Lepisosteus oculatus: one gene and its partner. The protein of the gene in region 1 interacts with the protein of each later gene in a pairwise test. Links are inferred from orthologs where the notes say so. Each region holds a gene or a part of one and is shown on either strand. Other genes may lie near its edges.

The links. The genes of interacting proteins can lie anywhere in the genome.
Region 2: the proteins of dtnba (region 1) and hmg20a interact in binary tests that used the Homo sapiens proteins (3 or more experiments, as listed by UniProt). The two-hybrid records come from large-scale screens. The link is inferred for Lepisosteus oculatus from reciprocal best matches to the Homo sapiens genes DTNB and HMG20A.

What each region holds. Positions count from the first base shown.
Region 1 is NC_090697.1:47,493,153-47,503,935, forward strand, and holds the start of dtnba (dystrobrevin beta), read left to right. Parts: upstream 1-5,946; 5' UTR 5,947-6,015; coding exon 6,016-6,092; intron 6,093-8,523; exon of another isoform or gene 8,524-8,543; intron 8,544-9,132; coding exon 9,133-9,200; intron 9,201-10,544; coding exon 10,545-10,625; intron 10,626-10,783.
Region 2 is NC_090700.1:51,014,492-51,024,896, reverse strand, and holds the start of hmg20a (high mobility group protein 20A), read right to left. Parts: upstream 4,702-10,405; 5' UTR 4,593-4,701; intron 1-4,592. UniProt on the Homo sapiens protein: Plays a role in neuronal differentiation as chromatin-associated protein. Acts as inhibitor of HMG20B. Overcomes the repressive effects of the neuronal silencer REST and induces the activation of neuronal-specific genes.

The DNA.
Region 1 (10,783 bases):
AAAATGCTCTGACACGTAGTTTCCACTTGTGTCCTCTGATTTGTATTTCAGTTTTCATTTAGAAGAATCAATGTCTTTGAAGATTTTAATACTTATATGTGGACCTTTCATAATCTCCTCCTATCATTTTGTTTGCCTTTCTAACTGCTTCCCCAATTTGTCTAGACAATGGAAATTATATAACTATATAAACACCTCATTTTCATGAGTAAAATACTATAATGAACTCGAGCACCAGTATATTACCTTTTCTTAGATCATACTGCATATCATTTTTATGTCTTGTGGATCTTCTGCCCTGGAATGTGTCCATGGATTATACCATGCAAATGAGAGATGGAGCAGTTGGCACAGCTTGAGGCATAGCACTGCGTATTGTTGACACACGCACAATTCAGAGGCCTTATTGTGATCATGCTCAGTACAGAGTTGCATGTCCTTGAAAATGAACTCTAAGTCTTGCATCTCTCCTTAGTATGGAGTATCAGCCTGTTGCCATCGTAGTCATTTGGGAATAAACAGCTATTAGGTTTTATCAGCAGTGTATGTAATCATGGTAGAAGGATCATTCGTACAGGATGAAAAAAAGAATAGTTTGTGAAACAGTTATCAATTGAATATCTCTTTAATGGTCACTTAAACAGTGGGATTTGCCTGCTACAAAAGTGTAATCCAGGTTGTGCTCTGTGAAAGGGTGTTGCATGAAAAGTCAGATTAACTTAATTTAAAGTTCAATGAGGCATTTTTGTGGTTTGTCTGAGTTATTTCACTGGCCTGTCATAGATGGGCTCATGGTTGTACATGGTTGTACAGATGGACTGGAAAAATCATGGTAAAGTTCTTTACTGAAGGATGTAACAGCAGTGATATCAGTGCTATACTGTAGATGTGTACTTAAGGGCAAAATTTCTTAGAACATACAAAAGCATTCCTGTCTAAAGAGCAAAGTTGGTCCATACATTGACTGAATTGCTAGCTTGATTGGTACCATATGATGGAGTTTTCATTACAGATTTCTGTTGCTTTCAAGTCTTCATCACAGCTTGTTACTGTACCAGTTCTATTTTGTGATGCATTGGACTGAAACTTATTTTTACACTCCTTGGGGCATCAGTATTGTCTACATGCATTCTTGCATATGTTTTGTCATTTTCATGTGTAAAAGGTTTGTTTGTTCATGTCCTGCTATTTTCTGCATGTTCAGATATTGCTGTATTGTTATTCGCAGGCATTTGACATTTCACATTCTGAGAACTCATTCTGTAGATCCTTGAAATAAATCTCGAGCCTAGAACTAGATGTATAGAGTTTTACAAAGCTCATAAATAATGTTTCAGTATTTTAAGTGGTAGAGCCTCTTCTTTGGCTCTAGTTATCTTCCTGTTTTGGGATTTGAACTTCTAAATATTTCCTCTTTTGCGGTCTTTATGATTGTATACTGTACTTTTTGTTTACAGTATTGTCTTTGTTTATTGAAAGTTCAATTAAAATGTATTTCAATGTGTGAACATATTAGTAAAGATGTTATGACCGGTTATTAAAAATATTACATTTATCTAACTATAGGGATAATCCTTTAATCCAAATTGAGTATGGTCAGGATTAAAGTCATGTTATTACCATTAATGAATCTATCAATCTACAGTAGATGTTTGGATTATAATAATAATAGTAATTTTATAAGTGTTTAAACCCTTAGATGTCACAAGCCTAATCTAAATCAGGTGTACACAATTGACATAATGAGCCATGCAACTAATTAAGTGACCTTTTTGTAAACTCCCTCAGTCAGATTCTGAATTTCAATCAAAGATTGAACCATGCAGACCAAGGAGCTTTCAAACACCATTTGGCACCAAGATAGTTGTGTAAAGGCACAGATTAGAGGGAAGGTAAAAAACATTTCAGAAACAATTAATACTGTATCTCTTTGAGTGTGGCAAAGTTGATCATTCCATTGTGGAATATACCCTGAGTCTGCCTGGATCAGGCTATCACTCTAAACTGAGTAGAAATTGAATATGAATGCTGCAGTGAGGCCTACAGTGACTTGTGGTGTTCAAAGTATCAGTTCAGATGATACTCTGAGAATTAATAATGCCCATGTGTCAACAATATCCCAGTCACTTTTAAATTAATTAAAAATTTCACTTTTACTTAAAGTATGGATGACTTAAAGTATGGAACTTTAAAAATCTGAGTGGAATGTAAGAATTTGAATAACGTAGGAAGTGTTTAGGGGAGAAGTAGCATTAGGCGTACAATCGTATGCGTGTCTGTGTCTCTGATTGTGTCTATGAGTGCCTTGAGACGGAATAGTGTCCCGTCCTAGGTGTATCCTGCCTTGTACCCATTGCTTGCTGGGATAGGCTCTGGCTCCCCCACGACCCTGAATCAAATGAAGCGGTTAGAAAATGGATGGTAAAACTAAGACACTTTCAATTTTGAAGGCAGGCAAACTGAGTATTATGCTATAGCATTCTGAAGTGAAGTGAACCAAGTGAAGGCTTCAAATTCCTTATGTTGTGTTTTCTCATAATGGGGTTGGATACCCTTTTCATGCAGACTGATGGGCTTATACAGAAAGTTATGTATAAAAGAACATGTGCCAGTGTTTTATTTTCCTCATGCCAGTATTTCCATTAAAGTGCAAGTAAACAGCTTAGTTTGGACCCAGTTATGAAGCTCATATACAAAATTGTGTGGTCCAGAGGCTTTTGTGTGTCACAGAATATTAAGTTGTGAATGGTTAGTATAGTCACTCATAGTATTTATTATGTAACATAAGGGCCTTTTCTTTAGACATTTGGAGCCTACAGTATAGTTTATTTATCTTTCTCCAAGCATATCTATACTATAGGCTATAGGCATTCTGATCTCTACTGTCATGGAATCTATGATTAATTATACATTTAGGAACTGAATGAGCTGTATTTATTGGTGCAACTAATTGATTAATGCAATGTACATACCACTGTGCATCAAAAAGCTGTGAGTGAATGCAACAGTATCCACCTGGTATACTGTATACCTACAGATCTAATTTGCTATTTTTAATATGTCAGTTTTTAAAACAAAAGCTAACATTAATACTTGTAAAAAGGTGTAATGTGTTAAACAAATAATAGGGAAAAGACAGTTTGGTATGCAGGCATGCATGTATTTCTGGATTTGACAAAGGAAATACAGATTAAAGATAATTTCCCAACATAACATGAAAGGCTAATAAATATCAGTTTTATGAGCCGTTAAAGATTATTTTAGAGCATGCTTAAAGAACATTATATTGGTGTAAAAAGGCAGCTTGGTTTTGTGGAGTACAAACAGTATGTATGTACAGTAATGGAATAGAAATTATTCAGAGAATGTTTAAATATTATAATGACAAAAGGGTTTCTCTTAGTTCAGATTTCTTCAGTCTGAACAAAGGGTTACAATTTAATAGCAAATACTATATGATATTCAAAGTATGTAGTTTTTCAATTGTACTAGATTTTTAATAGGAGAGATAAAGATACTGTAATACATTAATATAGAGACAAAATACTGTACAAAAATTAAAATAAATAAAATATCTGTGAACATAATATGTTTGAATGCTTTCACTGAGGAAACGATTCAAACATACATCTCGTTGTATATCAAAGTTTTCATAAAACAAGTGCAGTATATACAATCCATAGGAAAATGGGATTAGTGAGAAAAGATAAAACAAAGATACAGTGTGTATTTTTTTATTTCAATGTGCATTTTTTGTAGGGGCACATGCTTTGGGGACCACAGTAAAAAAGGTAAAGTAGAGGTAGCATGCTGACAAGGTAAAGTGGATGTGAATAGCAACATTGGAATAAATTGTGTTTCCTGGTTATGGCAGAAGAAAGCTGTGCAACAATAAGTTGAACTAAAAGAGAAGACCAGTAAAAATTATGGAGGTCATTCATTAATTATTTAACTTCTGTAAGCCTTCAGCTACCGCTAATATCATTAAAACATTTAAAGTAATATGTTTTTTTTTTTTAAATCAAGAATTTCCTTAAACTGAATATTAGGATTAAAAGATTGAATACTATAAATAATCTAAACTCCATGTTTCATTGCTTTTAGTAACCCCTGAATTGGTGTGAGCGGTTTATTTGCAGAGATTTGGAAGGTTTTTCATGCTGGGTCAGTGACTCAGTGCTTGAGTGGAATCCTGGGGTGAAATAGTCATTTATTGTTGGGTCACGTAGAAAGAAAGGTTATAACTTTTTTTGACAGTAAGACACAGGACCAGATTGCAATTAGAACGAATGCCAGATGAAGCAGCAGGTTGCTGGTCATAAATGTTTATGAGTCAAAACCACTTAAGAGGCTATTACTCATAAAAATTTAGCAACATTTACACTAAACGGCTAATGTGTTTGGAATTATAGTAATTCTAAATGGTAGAGATCTTCAGTATCATAAAGAGAATGCTTGGTTGCTTATGTACAGTAGCTCTGTTAGCATTTCCTTTCACTATCTTTAGTGCATAGTTCAGCAGATCTTTTTTGTAAACAAATCCTTAGCTTTAATGTCACCTACACCTTTAATGTCATTCAATACCTTGCATACTTATTTTGTGTGCTAAGACTGAGATGCACAATAATTAGCTATGCCACACTGATCCTAAAAAGGGGTAAAACAGCTGTCCGTCACGTCTAACTTTGACTTCATTGAAAACAGGAGACTCCTTTTTTGCACAAAACGTTATGGGACTCTGGTTTCTTTGAAGAAACTGTTTTAAAGATCAATTAGCTGCTAGCAGCCAGACAAGCTAGATGGGTTGAATGGCCTTGTCACACTTATAATGTTATATTATGATATTATTTTATACAGCTTGATACAGATGAAAACAAACCTGTGTGTTTTGAAGTGGCTAATTCTACAATGCCGCTGACAGTGAGGGGAAATGCCACACCTTCATACAGTACATATACTGAATTGCAATCGCATGTAATGTGTATAATGCATGCAATGCAAAGGTTTTGCAAACAAAAAAAACTTAAAAATTTCGAAGTGTTTCATTTTGTTTAGCTTAAATTTTATTCAAGTTGAACGTAAGAATGGTTACAGATGAGAAGAGGCCATTTGATCCACCTAGCCTGTTTTGGTATGGTAATGAGCTACACAAATTAGAAAGTCAGTTCTGAAATTTGAACCTGCTCTTTCTGAAGCCCTTAAAACTTCTACATTGTTGTTTCATAACATTTATTTGTCTTAAAGTCAACATTGGCTGTCTTATGATAGCAGCTGTAGTCTTTGCTTTTGAAAGAAGCTATAAATTAAGAGTTATGCAGTTTAAATCAATGAAGATATTTTAGTACTGCTGCTTAAATGATTGTAGCCAACTTATTTATGACTAAATGTTCGTTGCATTTAGTAAATATTTTTTTTATTTGGTGTTGTATGATTGATTGTATCATTTTGGATTATATTGCTTAAATTCCACTGTATATGGGAGATTTTGCCATCATTTTACCACTAAAAGCTACGTGTTAGGCCATATACATATTTTCTAACTAATGCCTAAACATACCACCTTGTTATTTTATCTCATTAATATAGATCTTGGCTTGATTTCTTGAATGTGTTAAAGGGTTACCAGTATAAACTGCAAAAGCAATGAGGCACATACTGTAGTGCCAAATTTATTGCTGTCAGAAGGTTATGGTGTTAAAGATATACAGTGCAATATTGTAATGAAATTAACATTCAGCATACATGATCCGTGTATATACTTATTCTCCTTTCTGTATGTAAATTTAAGGTGTTGAGAACCTCACTGTTGTTTAAAACATTGCAGTGAGATGTTATCATGAAATACGGTGTAGAAACTGTAGGCTGTATGTCTCTTTTTTCATTATTTTCTCTTTCACTCTGGCTGTGCATATCCATGTCCTGAGGAGATGCACACAAAAAGGCAGATGGGTTCACTGAGTCCTTCAGGGGCCAGAGCTGGTTCATCACATCTAACTGAGCCGGGTTGTCAAATCCATGAAGCCACTTGTTTACTGTGGCTGCTACCAGAGTCAGCAGTCATGGGAGGCACACAAAATGACTGCAATTATCAGGTACTTCTACAATAGTGACTCAGCATCACACGGCTGTAGTTCTTATGTAAATATGGCTGACAGCCTCCTGGATCTTGACAAAGGGTGGTGTGTACTGTTGAAATCTAGTTCTGTGTCTCATGTTGGTGTTAGTAAAGCACACGTACATCAGATGTGAGATACATACAGTTTTTAGGAACAACTAGTTTTTGAAAAAAAATCAAAAGTGTAGCAGAAAATATTTTTAAAAATAAATAACATTTTTATGTAATTAAAAATAGTTTAATAAAAATCCCAGAAAGCAACTATTCTTCCAGAGAGGAATTATGATTAAAAATAGTTATGTATTTACAAATCATTCAAGTACATTCATCTTGAGAATACAAGACCTTCATTTCTTATCCTCAATTTAAAGGAAGCTATGCCTTGTTGTTGTCAACCTTTTTAAAGACTTCAGCAGCTATCAAGAGTAGTTCTCAAAAGACTTAAAACAGATAAACTTACAGTTAGGGAGTAAATATGTGACGACAATGATTGAAAATGCTAAATGTCCCTGGCTGTTTTCCATTTTCAAAAGGTCCTGCTTTGTATCAGCCTCCTTCCCATCTGCAAACTTTGCAGTATTTAAGTTTTTGGGAATTGAATTTTGTATTTTATATTTTTTCTACTACCTAAGCAGTTTATTTTAAAAAAATGTCTTTTTTTAAAAAAATATTATTTGAATATTATAACAAGTAATCACTTAGTTGGCCCATATGTTATCTCATATAATTGAGCCCATATACTTATATACAGTATTTCATCTCTTTAGAAAGTTAGAATTTTCCAATAAAATGTCCATTTGAGTGGAATATCATTGTGGAAATAACATTTTGAGACCTGTGTCCCATTTGTTGATGCAACCCTGGCTCCAGTAGTGCTTCAATCTTTAATCAGAATAATATTTGTCCCCCTATAGGTTTAAAATACATTTATCTTGAGCTTGTGGATCTTTCCTTGGTCCTCCATGTTACCAGTATTGTTACTCCAAATACCTTCTTGTGAAACGAGTCTAGTAGATGTGTGGCTCAACCATTTTGTTGAGACAAATGTGTTCATGACAGGGTGCCATTATCTTGTAAAGGGAGAATAAGAATTCCTTGCTTATTCATCCTCTGCTCAATGAACTGTCCATTGAAGAGCTCAGCAGTCTTTTGTTCTAACTTCTGTTTCAATGAGGACAGTTAAAGGTTTAGCATCAGTCATCACCAAATAACGTCACAGATCTGACAACTTAATACAATGAGAAGAATTGAGCTACCCAGGTGTTGGTCTCTTATGCAAGTGTATTGGAAATGTGATGTATTCTGTAACCATATGCAATGTGACTTGCAAGGTTCTTTCTCAAAATTCTCTTTACAGATGATTAGATATCAAGTCAAAACACACAAAAAAAATTCTAACTGCATCCCAACTAATATAAATTGGAAAGTAATTTTAATTGTAACATTATGTATTAGTATTATAATGAAAAATGAAGCATCCGTGTATATGAGGACTGTATAATACTCCTACTGTACATTTTCTAAATCAGCATACACTTAATTTATTAAAACCTACATTAAAACCTAAAATATACTAAAAAGAAAACTTTTTCTGTTTAACAGTGGTGAAAGGCATTGTTGATACTGTAGATGAAGAAATCAGAAACAGGTTTTGACTGCTTACTTGTGATTATACATAATGAAATCCATATGATCAGAGAGCTTAACTTTCAAATACTCTGTGATTAAGTTGTTTGAGCACTTGTGATCTTAGTTCCATATACAGTACTGTAGTTTAAAAACTAGTGACAATCTGGTGTTCTGCCATTGTTATTATAAGTATGCAAACTAACTTGATTTTTAAGAGATCTTTTTATCAAAGATAAAAGGTTATATCAAAGGTTTCTGATAATGAAATATTTACCATTTATTGTCGCAAATGATAAATTCAATGGGAATGATACTTTCTGTACAACTTCCTGTTGCTTACCAACTGTTTAAACTGCTTACTTGATGTAGTTTGATGACATAGTGTACCATACAGCAGGTCACATTGACTAAATCTGATGGCTTAACTTGTCGTGTTTTACTAATGGGTTATGCTATTTCAAGACATTTTTATCACTTTGATGGATTCTGCTGCCTCAAAAGTGGGGAGGGAGATGTTTAAATTGAAGGACCGGGTGAAATTAAATCTGATATACTGGATAGCATTCTTTTTAACTCCTCTTTGGAGCCTGTGAGACATAAGAGAGAAGGAAAGGTCAGCTTTTCACATGGTTTCATTTTTTTCTACCACAGAATATCCTCGGTATACAGCTCAAAATATTATATTGGCACAGTCCTTGTCCAACCCAAAGACAACTGACACAGCAAGCAATAAACTGAGAACCCATGAAACGGTTCAAACTGAAAAAGTCAAAGAGAAAAGTTGTGTAAAGCCAACCTGGTAGGAGACTCAGTCACTTAGTCAGTTTTGTATACTGGACAATTGATTCCCGCACACTGTAAACTATTGTTATTCATTCTTGCACTACAAAGACCTATTTCCTGTATGATGTGCTGTACCTGGCATTTCACAGCACCTTTCATAATCTGCAGAGCCAGAGAACAATATAAATAATTATATTATTATTATTATTATTATTATTATTATTATTATTATTATTATATTCACTAACAGGAACTTTGCCACTGGCTTTCACCTCAAATCATGCACATTCAGATAAATCAATGAATGAATGAACTGGTTAATCTCAGTGGATGTTTTTTCCTACTTTCAACCCCTCTTGTACGTGAGCACAGCTTGGCTGTGAAGCTTCCTAGCAGCCTGGTAATGAGCTGCACGGGGATTCTGGGATCGGCTTCAGTTGTGCTTGCTTTGGCTGTGCTTAATGGTGGGCAAATCTGTAATTCCAACCTTTCATGTGCAAACAGAATACAAAACCGGCAACTGTACCAATTATGAAATGAGAAAAAAAAGGATTGTTAAACCCAGTGGAGCCATGCATTCAGTTAACAATATTTTCTTTCCCCAGAATGATTGAAGAGGGTGGAAAAAGAGGCAAAACCATGGCCGAAAAGAGGCAACTTTTCATGGAGATGAGTAAGTACTGAAAGGAACTTGACACTTGATAAGAGTAAATTTCAGTTTGATAGGACAAAAAGCTTGGAAAAGAGTGAAAAAACTCCTTCAAGGCCAGTGGAAGAGAAACATATTTCAATAACCTGAGTTGCACAGTGTAGCACAGTGTGAATCACAATGTTAGCTTCTGTGTTTGCATCAATGGTACATATTGTGCAGAACATTTAGAGTGCAAACCATGGGTAAGGGGAGTGACCATACAGATAACGGAAAAAGTGCTGTTGTCACTAAGGGCTTTTGTTCTTCTGAGGAGTCATTCCAGTATTTTAGTCAGTGTTTCATGTCAGATCCGTCAAAGCAAGGAGTACGTCTCTGGAGACAGCACCTCTGAAAACACACAGGCTTTTGTGTGGAAAACAGCAGCAAGGAACTTTACTGATAGTGACAATCTCTGACGCAAGCCTCACTGTCATTGCAAAATTATAATGAAATAAAATGTTACTTTTTGTATATCTGTCCTTCCAATTTTAATTGGGTTGAAATACAATTCTAATTTAAAGTATTGGAAGGATGTAAGGCTTATTTTCAACTGATAGAAAAGTTCAAGGTGAGAATGGATTGGCCTTGAGGAATCTCATGTGAGACTTGGGGTAAGAGCAAAGATGTTCAAGAGCAAAGATGAACTACTCCTCTGATATGTATTGATACAAAATTTAGTTCCTTTAAAATATTAGGCACAGTTTTTTCTTCTGACTTTGTACAGTGGAGGTCTTAGATCTACAAGACCACAAAGATTGTTTCTGCAATGTGGTTAATCCTGCATTAGAATTCTGGAAGATTTGCTTAGAAAAGGCTTCTGTGGGGGAAAAAAAATCTGTATAATGTACTTTTTAATTTGTAAGAAAACATATGACTGTTTAATTTAGGTAATGTTTTTCTCTAGAAATATTCTTTAAGAAGTTGAAGGTGTACAGAGTACATTTTGAAACTGGCTATCAACATTGTGAAAATTGAGTGTGGAAATTCTGTAGACAAGGAAATGGGACCATGAGAACATTTTCTCATACCACTGACATTGCAGCAGAAGCCACTTAGGTCAAACGAATGCTGTCCACTATGTGCAGTGTACTTTGTGGAGATAATGGATCTAGTACAGTACATTTGTCAATTACTACAAAAATGTTTTTTTAAACTTTACAGTTATAATAAGGTCATTTTTGACAAAATATTTGTGTTGGAAGAAAACCCTGTTTTGAATTCTAAGAGAGCTGTCCTAAAGGGTAGATTTGTGGAATAAGGCCTACAGTATTTAGCACAAAATTGGTATTGTTTTCAAAAGTGGCATCTTGGCATGTTTTTACCCAGGGGCCCAGAATTATGATGTCATCAGACTCTCAACCTATCGGACGGCTTGCAAGCTGAGATTCGTACAGAAAAGGTGCAACCGTAAGTAGCATCACTAAATCGCATCTTTGTGCTCAGTTAGACTATCAGCTGTTTTGAAAGGTCTTAAAATTACTCATCTCAGTGTACAATTGTAATTTATAAAGACTGTATTTATAAATCATGCAGTTTTGTGGCTCCTTACCCTCAAACGTATACGT
Region 2 (10,405 bases), on another chromosome or scaffold:
ACTGCTAACCTAGAGACTTCTCGAACACTTTGTGAAACAGCTGTCTGACTGGTCAATGGATGACGTCAAGGAGCCCTGACCCCTGATCTCAAGCGCCGCTAGGTAGAGGGTAGCCCCTCGGAACTGAGTCATAGCATCCTGCACGTGGCTTCCTTGTCCTACAAGGACACAATGTCCTCAAAAATCTCCAGAAATGACTGAATAACACTAAATGTAAAAAGGAAATGTCCTTTTGCCACACCACAAAAATGAGGGAAAACTGGTATTTTTACAAAGTGTCACTTATGTCTCAAGGTGTTACTGTACTTTGATTGTAAAACTGTCACCCACTGCAAACAAGAGTTGGCAAAACAGTAGACCAAAAAAGAAAACTAATAATTTAACACATATAAAGCGTTTAAAGTGACACATCTTTTTCAAAGTTTTAAAGTTTTTACATAACTACAAAGTATAAACAAAGTTTTTCCATTACACCCTGCACACCATCCCAAACAAATGTACAGACCACCGTCTATCTCCAATTTCCACTGAATTAACTAAAGACACAGGGTGTGACCAGGTTTATTGTTTCTAAGTCTATTATGTTGAAACAATAAGTATTCAGAGTTTTAAATATGTTAATCCACTTACCTTAACCACAACTTAGTAAAATTTGAAAAGGTTAGAAGAGGTAGCATAGCCAATTTACTGTAGGTTAACAGTATTATCACACTTGAGCAAACTGGTGAAAACTGAGACTACCAATAGTCTGCAACTCTAAACTACCTCTCATTTACTTAATTGGATCTGGTTAGACAATGACAATAAAGGAAAAGGTTTTAATAGCTGTATTGCTAGGGTGGTTCTGAAGCTGAAAAATTGAATGAGTGAGCATGAGTCTTGAGAATACGAAACAGGATGGATTTCACTGCAGAGCAGCGTGAAACTATTACTTGATGGCTTAAGTTAAATGACCCTCAAAAGGGCGATTCAGAACTTCAAACAGCAGCTTCTGTATTTTGAGTCTGTACATTAAACAATAACACTGAGATGGAAAATGCCATTTGGAGAAAAGAAAAAAAGGGCTCTAGCTCCCCCTAATGTGGGCAGGGTTAATTTTTTTGGCTGTTGCTTCCATCCAAACAGTCTGTTCCCATAGCCTCCAAACAACTGGGCACTGACACACACAAACCCCCACACACAGAGACCAGCTGAGAGACAGATGTGCAATACTTAAGTAAACAAACAGTGACTAACAGGAAACTGCAGAGGGAACCAGAAATGTGGTCTTTCAATTAGACTCAGAATAATGACTTGATGTATTCTACTGTCCAGCATCAAGGGTAATAAAGTTCATGGAACATGCAAATCTGCAAAAGTAGTTCATTGTCTGGTGAATAAAATATCAGTGCGAATTCTTTTTAAAATATTACATCTGTTGGCATCAGCCAAGTTACTTAAAATGTACTAAATAAAGTTAAGATTTTAAATAATCCATTGCTTAAACAACTTCATGGATCATAATTATATATTTTCTATGTAATAATTTTGTATAAACAGAAAAAACAATTATAACTTGCAATTACAGAAGGGAGACTACTCATTTATACAAAGGGACATTTACTGAAGCAATCTAAGTTAATAATAATTAGTAATAATAATTGCTTACACTTATATAGCGCTTTTCTGGACACTCCACTCAAAGCACTTTACAGGTAATGGTGATCCCTACTCTTTTCGAGAAACGCTCTGAGACCGCTCAGGACCTCGGTTTTACGTCTCAGCCGAAGGACGGCGCCTGTTTACAGTATAGTGTCCCCGTCACTATACTGGGGCATTAGGACCCACATGGACCACAGGGTGAGCGCCCCCTGCTGGCCCCACTAACATCTCTTCCAGCAGCAACCTTAGTTTTTCCCAGGAGGTCTCCCATCCAGGTACTGACCAGGCTCACACCTGCTGAGCTTCAGCGGGTTGCAAGATGTGAGTTGCAGGGTGATATGGCTGCTGGCTAGTTAAGAATTTTGGATAAAAATACATCAGCAGCATGGCATCTGGATTCCACAGCCCTGGCCAGTACATACCTATACCATGCATTGGAAGAACAATCAAATTTATCCACAGAGATCTATCTGTGCTTGAAATGAACCCACTACTGAGCACGGAAGATGCAGTCAGAACTTATCAACCAGATTTCATGACACATTTCCTGAAATTCCAGGACATGTCTGGTGAACAAATGCCATAAAGAAGCCCAAGAGCAACCTACTACACATGTGCTGTTTACAAAGGAGCAGTGTTTGGAAATCTCAGTCATTTGAGAACAGAGTCATTTAAAGCAGAGCTTCATCGAGTAGACCTTGGCATAAACTCAATCCTGCAAAAGCAATATAGGGCTATCAAACAAAAAACACTGTGTCACCCAAATACATACTTTTATAACTATTTCCAAACTAAGGAAACAGTAGACTAACCACTGCCTCGATCTATGTGTTCAAGCTCTCTGGTATAAAAACTAGATTTACTTTCATTGAGAATTAATCCCTCATCAACTCCTAGTAATGTCTAACAAACTAAAGCATTTAATCAACAACTCCTGACTGATAAGAGAAATGGAGATTGAATAATGCTGTTTGCCAATATGCCCCTTTAATGTGTAACCATTCCCATGTTGTTTTCCTATATAAAAAACACACATTATTTGCGTCTGCTGTTTATAATCAGTACCACTGTGCCACCAGCTGCTCCATGTGCAGCATTAAGGAAATCAACCATAGCTTTAAAGCACTTCCTCACAAAATGTAGGGAATACCTAACCACAGAATTTGCTAGCACAAATTTCAGACATCTGTACTTTAGTGTTATAATAACAGCCAAGACAGATGCTATATAAGATTAGTCTCCTACTACCCAAACACACACACAAAACCTTACTGCTGACCCAAAATATCAGCACAATTTCAGAGCCCAAACTGTGCTGCCACATATAAAAACACTCAGCCATAGTGCCCTTACACAATAGGCACATTTCCAGTTGAGGAAGGAGTCAATATAGATGCAAAGGAGAGTAGTACAATATGATTAGAGAGAAATAACTCCATTGTAGAACACCCACTGACGTTAAAGAATTAAGCTACATGCAAATATCTAACATATCAGTTGATAAGTTTTAAACGGGTGAAAATAATGACCTTTCCAAAAGCCAAATACTGCAAGGACATCATAAATGAATTCAAAAATGCTACTTTTAAATGGTGTTTCAATTAACATATTTATTTTTTTGGGAAAACGGACATACAGAAGTACTTTTTTCCAATATGTGCATTTTAATTCAAGGGTGAAGATGAAGTTTAGGGTATCATATAGTAGTGGTAAAGACTCATGATCTATAATCACACGCAACTTTAAAACCCTAAGACTGATGCCGATGTTAGATCCTTGAGCCATGAATTTTCCCCTCTTCTGCCCCAGTCACACTAAGGGTTACACAGGTAATGTTCTGTCCTATTAACCCTTAATGTCGCATAAAAGAGTCTTGGGAGTTGTTTGCTCTGCTAAAAGTCACTGTAGTAAAACCTGGGACAGTCCTTCAAGTATATAAACTGCTTAGTTTTATAAAGCAATTAATCAAATACTCAGTTTTCTAAATATTGCTGAAGTTCTTCGACTCCAAAGACCTTCCTTTAGGTATCCTGTTGATACCGGAAAATGGTATAACGCTGATATTGAGTATATGCAATGAGTGCTTTATATTTCAAACAATTTGGACATTCTACGGTTGTCAAAAAAGAGACCATTTCTATGTGCACCTTTTAGAAATATAGTACTTAGCAGTTTGAGGTTAGCAATGTAGTAATATTTCTTATGGAACTGCTTATTTCTAACCTTGTTATCAAGATTTTAACTATACTGTGACATGTGGCCTCGAAGAAAATGAAGCATAATCCACTCGATGAGTGACGATAACTTTAATTATACCCATATCTGAGGCACTACAAGGTAGCCAGAAGTGCTTAAGATACTTTATTATTTCATACTGCCAACCGATTCACTTGCATACTTAGGAGTGAATGTAATGGCATGAAAAACTCCAGGGGCTACAACATGTTGGGGGAGCGACGAAATAACACTTTTGAAGTATAGTAGTCAATACGTCTTATTTTTTTGAATTTACTTAAAATAGTGAGCGGTGTTTAAATAATAAAACAGAATTCGAAATATTTTCGAAATAGCTTTACGATACGGTATGAACAACCAATATTATTAATAACAACACGAACTAATGTTAAGAGGGGTCCTCAACACTCAAACAGTTTAGGCAGAAAAATAAACAAAAGGTACACCAAAAATAAATTCAGCTTTTAACGAAGGGCCATGGAAAATAGTACTATTTAACAATAGATTTACAAATATACTTCCATCACAGTCTTTAACAAACAAGAGTGTAGCCGGAGTTTCCAATCTTTAGAGACACATGAATTGTGCGTTTCCTTTTTGTTTGTCTCAGACTTTCAACCATTCGGATGCATATCGCACATTGTATCTAAGTACAGAACGCACACCAAACCCTTCCTCAAAACACCGTTATTCAACCCCTGATAATCCACACTGACCTGCAACCCGCTTGAAGATCCGAGCAAAGGTTATATATATTATTATAGGGGGACCCACAAATCACAACAATGCCAAGTACCCCCTTACGTGTCTCAACTATATTACGCGTCAAGCACTGACGTGGGACAACTCACGCTCATCTTTAGATCAATCCGCCCTTGAATTGGTAGAATTTGTATTTCTTTTTACTACGAAGACACAAAATAGATGTTAAATTAATTAATTTATGTAAAAAGTACATTATTTTGGAACAATTATAATCATAAATCCGCCCTTTCGCTTGTAACGTAGCTCTATATTTCTTCGCGGAATTATTTCAGTTTACGTGAATGTGCCGTAAATGTGTGGCACTGAGCGTCTGTCGCAGAGCAGGAATCACTGCCGTCGGTGTTGCTGGGAAATGTATTTTTGATAGGCTTGTCCTGGGATTCGCGTATGAATACAAGTAGGACGTGACAGTAATTGGGTCTCAAACAAAAGGAACAGTGCTTGCTGTTCAATTAATTCACTGTTTTATTTTATTTTTGGAAAACTGTTACGATCTGGATGTGCCAGCAGGCAACTTTAATTCCTATATAAAGAGCTCTTTTACCTTCTCGAGATGTAAATAAAAAGCATTTGAATACTACTGCTGCTAATACGGCTACATCACAACAACAACAACAACAACAACAACAACAATAATAATAATAATAATAATAATAATAATAATAATAATAATAATAATAAAACTATGTCAATTGGCTCCATCTAGTGGTGACATAAATATTCCATAAATGCCATAATTCAGTAGTTTGGTAGTGATAACGTGGGTTAGACTTCACTGAAGTCTACTGAATTTACTGAATCTAAAATTTCACCCAGCCCTTTTTTGAAGGTGTCCAAGATTTGGGTCTCAATTGCTTAACTGAGAATCTTTTTGTAAATTAATTTTAAGTTCAACCTTTATTGTCCCATTAGGGAAATTTGTTTTACAATAATAATAATAAACTTTATTTTATATCGCACCTTTAAAGGTGGCTTCTCAAAGCGCTTTACAGGATGACAACTATAAATAAAAAGAATACATAAGATAAACACACAATTACAATATATAGAGGAGACCGTGGATGGTGGTACAAAGAAAAGCAGAGGGGTGAAGAATGGAACCAGTTAAGTAAAGACTTTTCTGAAGAAAAGGGTTTTGAGTCTGGATTTGAAGGAGTTTAGGGAAGGTGACTCTCTGATATCTTTGGGAAAAGAGTTCCAGAGCTTGGGGGCATAACAGGAGAAGGCCCTGTCACCCATACAATGTAGACGGGCTTGGGGGACAGTAAGGAGAGCAGAATTAGAAGAGTGAAGGTTGTGAGGTGGGGAGTAGGGCGATAATAGTTCAGACAGGTACTGAGGTGCCAAGCCATGCAGAGCCTAATAGGTGAGCTTGAGGATTTTAAAGTCTACACGACTTTTGACTGGAAGATAAGATATAAGATAGCACCACAATGACAGACAGAATTTCACCAACAAAGAAGCAAGTGCAACAGTGCTACAGTAAGATAAGAGAGAAGATAATTAGAATACATTGTTTGAAAGAGATATTGCAGCTGGGATTAAAGATTTCCTGTAGCTATTAGCATTATACCTTGGGACACAGGGGCGTCTCCCAGACAGGAGAAGTGTGAACTCTCAGTGGAGGTGCTGAGAAACACAATCCATAATACACTTTGGTTTCTTTGCCACCCTCTCTTTGTAGAGTATATCTAAGATAATTTGATTTGCCCCAATTAATTTACAACTTAAGTTGACTATTTTATTCATTCTTTTACAATGGTACTGATGTTACCAAACCAGCAAGTGAGACAGTAAGCAAAAGAAAAAAAAGAGGGAAAAGAAATGTTTCTATTCTAAGACCTAAATGATTCCCCTGTCAGATACAACATTTTTAAGAATCTGTAATAGAAGTTTTGATTACTGAAGTACTACAGAAACAAAGAAAAAAACACACCCAACATTAAATTACTATTACTAGCACTTTGCTTATTGTAGAAAGCTTAATGTACTCTCAGTCGTAGCTCTATAGTTTATACAGGGAATGAGTTATTACAGTCTCATCTTATCTCTTAATGACTTAATTACACTTTTATTTAAGCTAATAGTTTACATAAACAATTGTTTTTGCTTTTTGAAAGATACATGAAGAAGAAGAAGAAGAAGAAGAAGAAGAAGAAAAAGAAGAAGAAGAAAAAGAAGAAAAAGAAGAAAAAGAAGAAAAAGAAGAAAAAGAAAAAGAAGAAAAAGAAGAAAAAGAAGAAAAAGAAGAAGAAGAAGAAAAAGAAAAAGAAAAAAAAGAAAAAAAAGAAGAAGAAAAAGAAAAAGAAAAAGAAGAAAAAGAAGAAAAAGAAAAAGAAAAAGAAGAAGAAGAAGAAAAAGAAGAAAAAGAAGAAGAAGAAGAAAAAGAAAAAGAAAAAGAAGAAGAAAAAGAAGAAAAAGAAGAAGAAAAAGAAAAAGAAAAAGAAGAAAAAGAAGAAGAAGAAAAAGAAAAAGAAAAAAAGAAGAAAAAGAAGAAAAAGAAAAAGAAGAAAAAGAAGAAGAAGAAAAAGAAAAAGAAAAAAAAGAAAAAGAAAAAGAAGAAGAAAAAGAAAAAAAAGAAGAAGAAAAAGAAAAAAAAGAAAAAGAAAAAGAAAAAAAAGAAAAAAAAGAAAAAGAAAAAGAAAAAAAAGAAGAAAAAGAAAAAGAAGAAAAAGAAGAAAAAGAAGAAGAAAAAGAAGAAAAAGAAAAAGAAGAAGAAGAAGAAAAAGAAGAAGAAGAAGAAGAAGAAAAAGAAGAAGAAAAAGAAGAAAAAGAAGAAGAAGAAGAAGAAGAAAAAGAAGAAGAAGAAGAAGAAGAAGAAAAAGAAGAAGAAGAAGAAGAAGAAGAAGAAGAAGAAGAAGAAGAAGAAGAATTGCTTACACTTATATTGCGCTTTTCTGGACACTCCACTCAAAGTGCTTTACAGGTAATGGGGACTCACCTCCACCACCATCAATATGCAGCATCCACCTGGATGATGCGACGACAGCCATAGTGCGCCAGAACGCTCACCACACGTAAGATATGTTATGCATATAATGATTAATTGCTGAAAATAATTCCTAAAAGTCTAAATCAGAATGTTGGAAACTGGCCTTTTTTAGCTTGTAATTATTTCCTTCCTTCCTTCCTTGAGTTGTGGGACACCAGATCTCTATCTTACCCCCTACCTGGGACATCACCCTTCACTGGTTACATTTACTGATACCTACAAAAGGCCCACAACACTAAACCCATGAACAACAGGAAACTTTTGGAACCATTTTTAAAGGGTTTATTTAAGTAACTGGAACAAAAGTCAGAAGACACTGGGCTCTTGACCTGAGGGCCATTTAGGTGTGAGGAACCTTGATGCTAAAAATGAGAAAACCCAACAACAATAATATAATAGTGATAAATTATGTTATGTGAACCTTGTCTAAAATGCGGCTTTATTTTAACATATAATTTAACTATGACATAGTTATTGTGGTTGTGACAGTGGCAATGACAGAACGGAAATCCCCATACATCAGGTCAGTGAATTATAATTCAGCAACAGCATGTTTTCTTGAAAAAAGAAGCCACCACAAAATGCTCTACTATATTTTAACTGTTAAGCATACTTTGTAGTAGCATGTAATTGAACACATGGTTTAGCTTTATCTTATCAGTTGACAAGATCATACAGTAATATTGGGGAGTACCTCCATACTTCACTGTGGAACTGAACCGCTGGTCTGCTGGTTACACATGTCTGTTTACATTTGAATGCAGGCTTTTGAGCTATTCTGCCTTCAAGCTAGCTCACTTAGTGCATTGGGCATTGACAAGGCACTCTAAACACTCAAGAGCATTTAATTCCATCTGTCAGAGATTTTTATGGCAAATGGGTAAAGGGCATTTGCTGAATTCAAACCAGTGTTTAATCACTGTGCCCAGAAGCAATGCACTCCCGGACCTAGTTTAAATCTACATAATTTGAGAAATAAGCACATTCCTTTTTCACTTAAGGGAACTGCTCCCAGTGTTTAACTTTGAAGTATATTTGGTAACGGCTGCAGTCATTGGCTCCAGTCACTTGGGCACACTGCTTTAAAGGAGTAGTTCATGCCATCTGTATTTTACTCTCATTTCATTTTATCACATGAGGCACATACTAGACGATGTGCTGCAAGTGATTCACGGTTGTTGTTCCTGCTCAAATCTGTGCTTGACATGATAAGTGGCTACTGTCTGAAAAACAGCTGTGTGGGGAAGTGCATGCAGGAAAAAAAGTAGTTTAGCACTGTACTAAGCTGCAGAGCCTTGTCTAGTAGAAGCATTGTAAAGAAATGTTTAAACTTCCCATCGGAAAACACTTAATGAAAAAGCTGAAATCTGTCTTTTTAGCAAGGTAGGTAAATGCATAACCTCTAACACTAGAATAGATACAGATAAGCTAATTTCCTTGGTTATTAGCAGGAAGACAGCAGTCAGAGAGGGAACTATGTCAGGGTCAAGATCCGCAGGAATTCACTGGCTGAATTTCAGGTCTCAGATGGTGGGAACATCCTGTGTATTCTTTTTTCACTGCTGTCTGGTTACATCTCATGAGTAAGATCTTTCTCTTGGGTTTCATTTCTATATTTATTTTACATTGATAGCAAAATTACACTTGTAAGGTTAAGAAAGTTCTGCTTTGTGTTTAATAGAATACAAAAATATCTTAAAATACTAAGTAATAAAATGAACAGTGTGAAAATAGGGAATAGTTTAGTAAAAAAAACACAAATAAAGAATAAATATACATATATACTCAAACACCGATAGCATCATCATAATTCTGAAATTAAAAGTCAAAGGAACAGTACTTTTTGAAGTGGTCTGATAAATTACCAACAGGAGTTATATATTCACTATTCTGAATACATAACTGACCATATTACTTGTAAATGAAAAAATGTAGCATACATTCTATAAACCCATCATCTTATCTGCTCATAAATATATCTCCGGAGGCTGGAACAAAGATTGTATAAAGTATAAAAAATGACAATTAGGATAATAAAGGCCTGTAGACTGTGGTGACCCCTTGTGGACAGTAGTGATAGCAGGTTTATTAACTAACTCAAATCATGACTTTTTGACACCAGCCACAATGGAAGATCAGATCAAAGCACCATGTGATGAATTCTTCAATCTGGTGGATACTTGCTAATCCATAGTACTACATAGTACTACAATCCTTCATTTTAGCAGCCACATCACTCTACAACTCACAACTGGAAACCCACTGAAGCTAAGCAGGTGTGAGCCTGGTCAGTACCTGGATGAGAGACCTCCTGGGGAAAACTAAGGTTGCTGCTGGAAAAGGTATTAGTGGGGCCTGCAGGATGCGCTCACTCTGTGATCCATGTGGGTCCTAATGCCCCTGTATAGTGACGGGGACACTATACTGTAAACAGGCGCCGTCCTTCAGATGAGATGTAAAACTGAGGTCTTGACTCTCTGTGATCATTAAAAATCCCAGGGAGTTTCTCAAAAAGAGTAGGGATGTAACCCCGGCGTCCTGGCCAAATTTCCCATTGGCCTTTACCAATCATGGTAATAATAATAATAATAATAATTGCTTACACTTATATAGCGCTTTTCTGGACACTCCACTCAAAGGGCTTTACAGGTAATGGGGACTCCCTCCACCACCACCGATGTGCAGCATCCACCTGGATGATGCGACGGCAGCCATAGTGCGCCAGAACGCTCACCACACATCACCTATCAATGGGGGAGGAGGGCAGAGTAA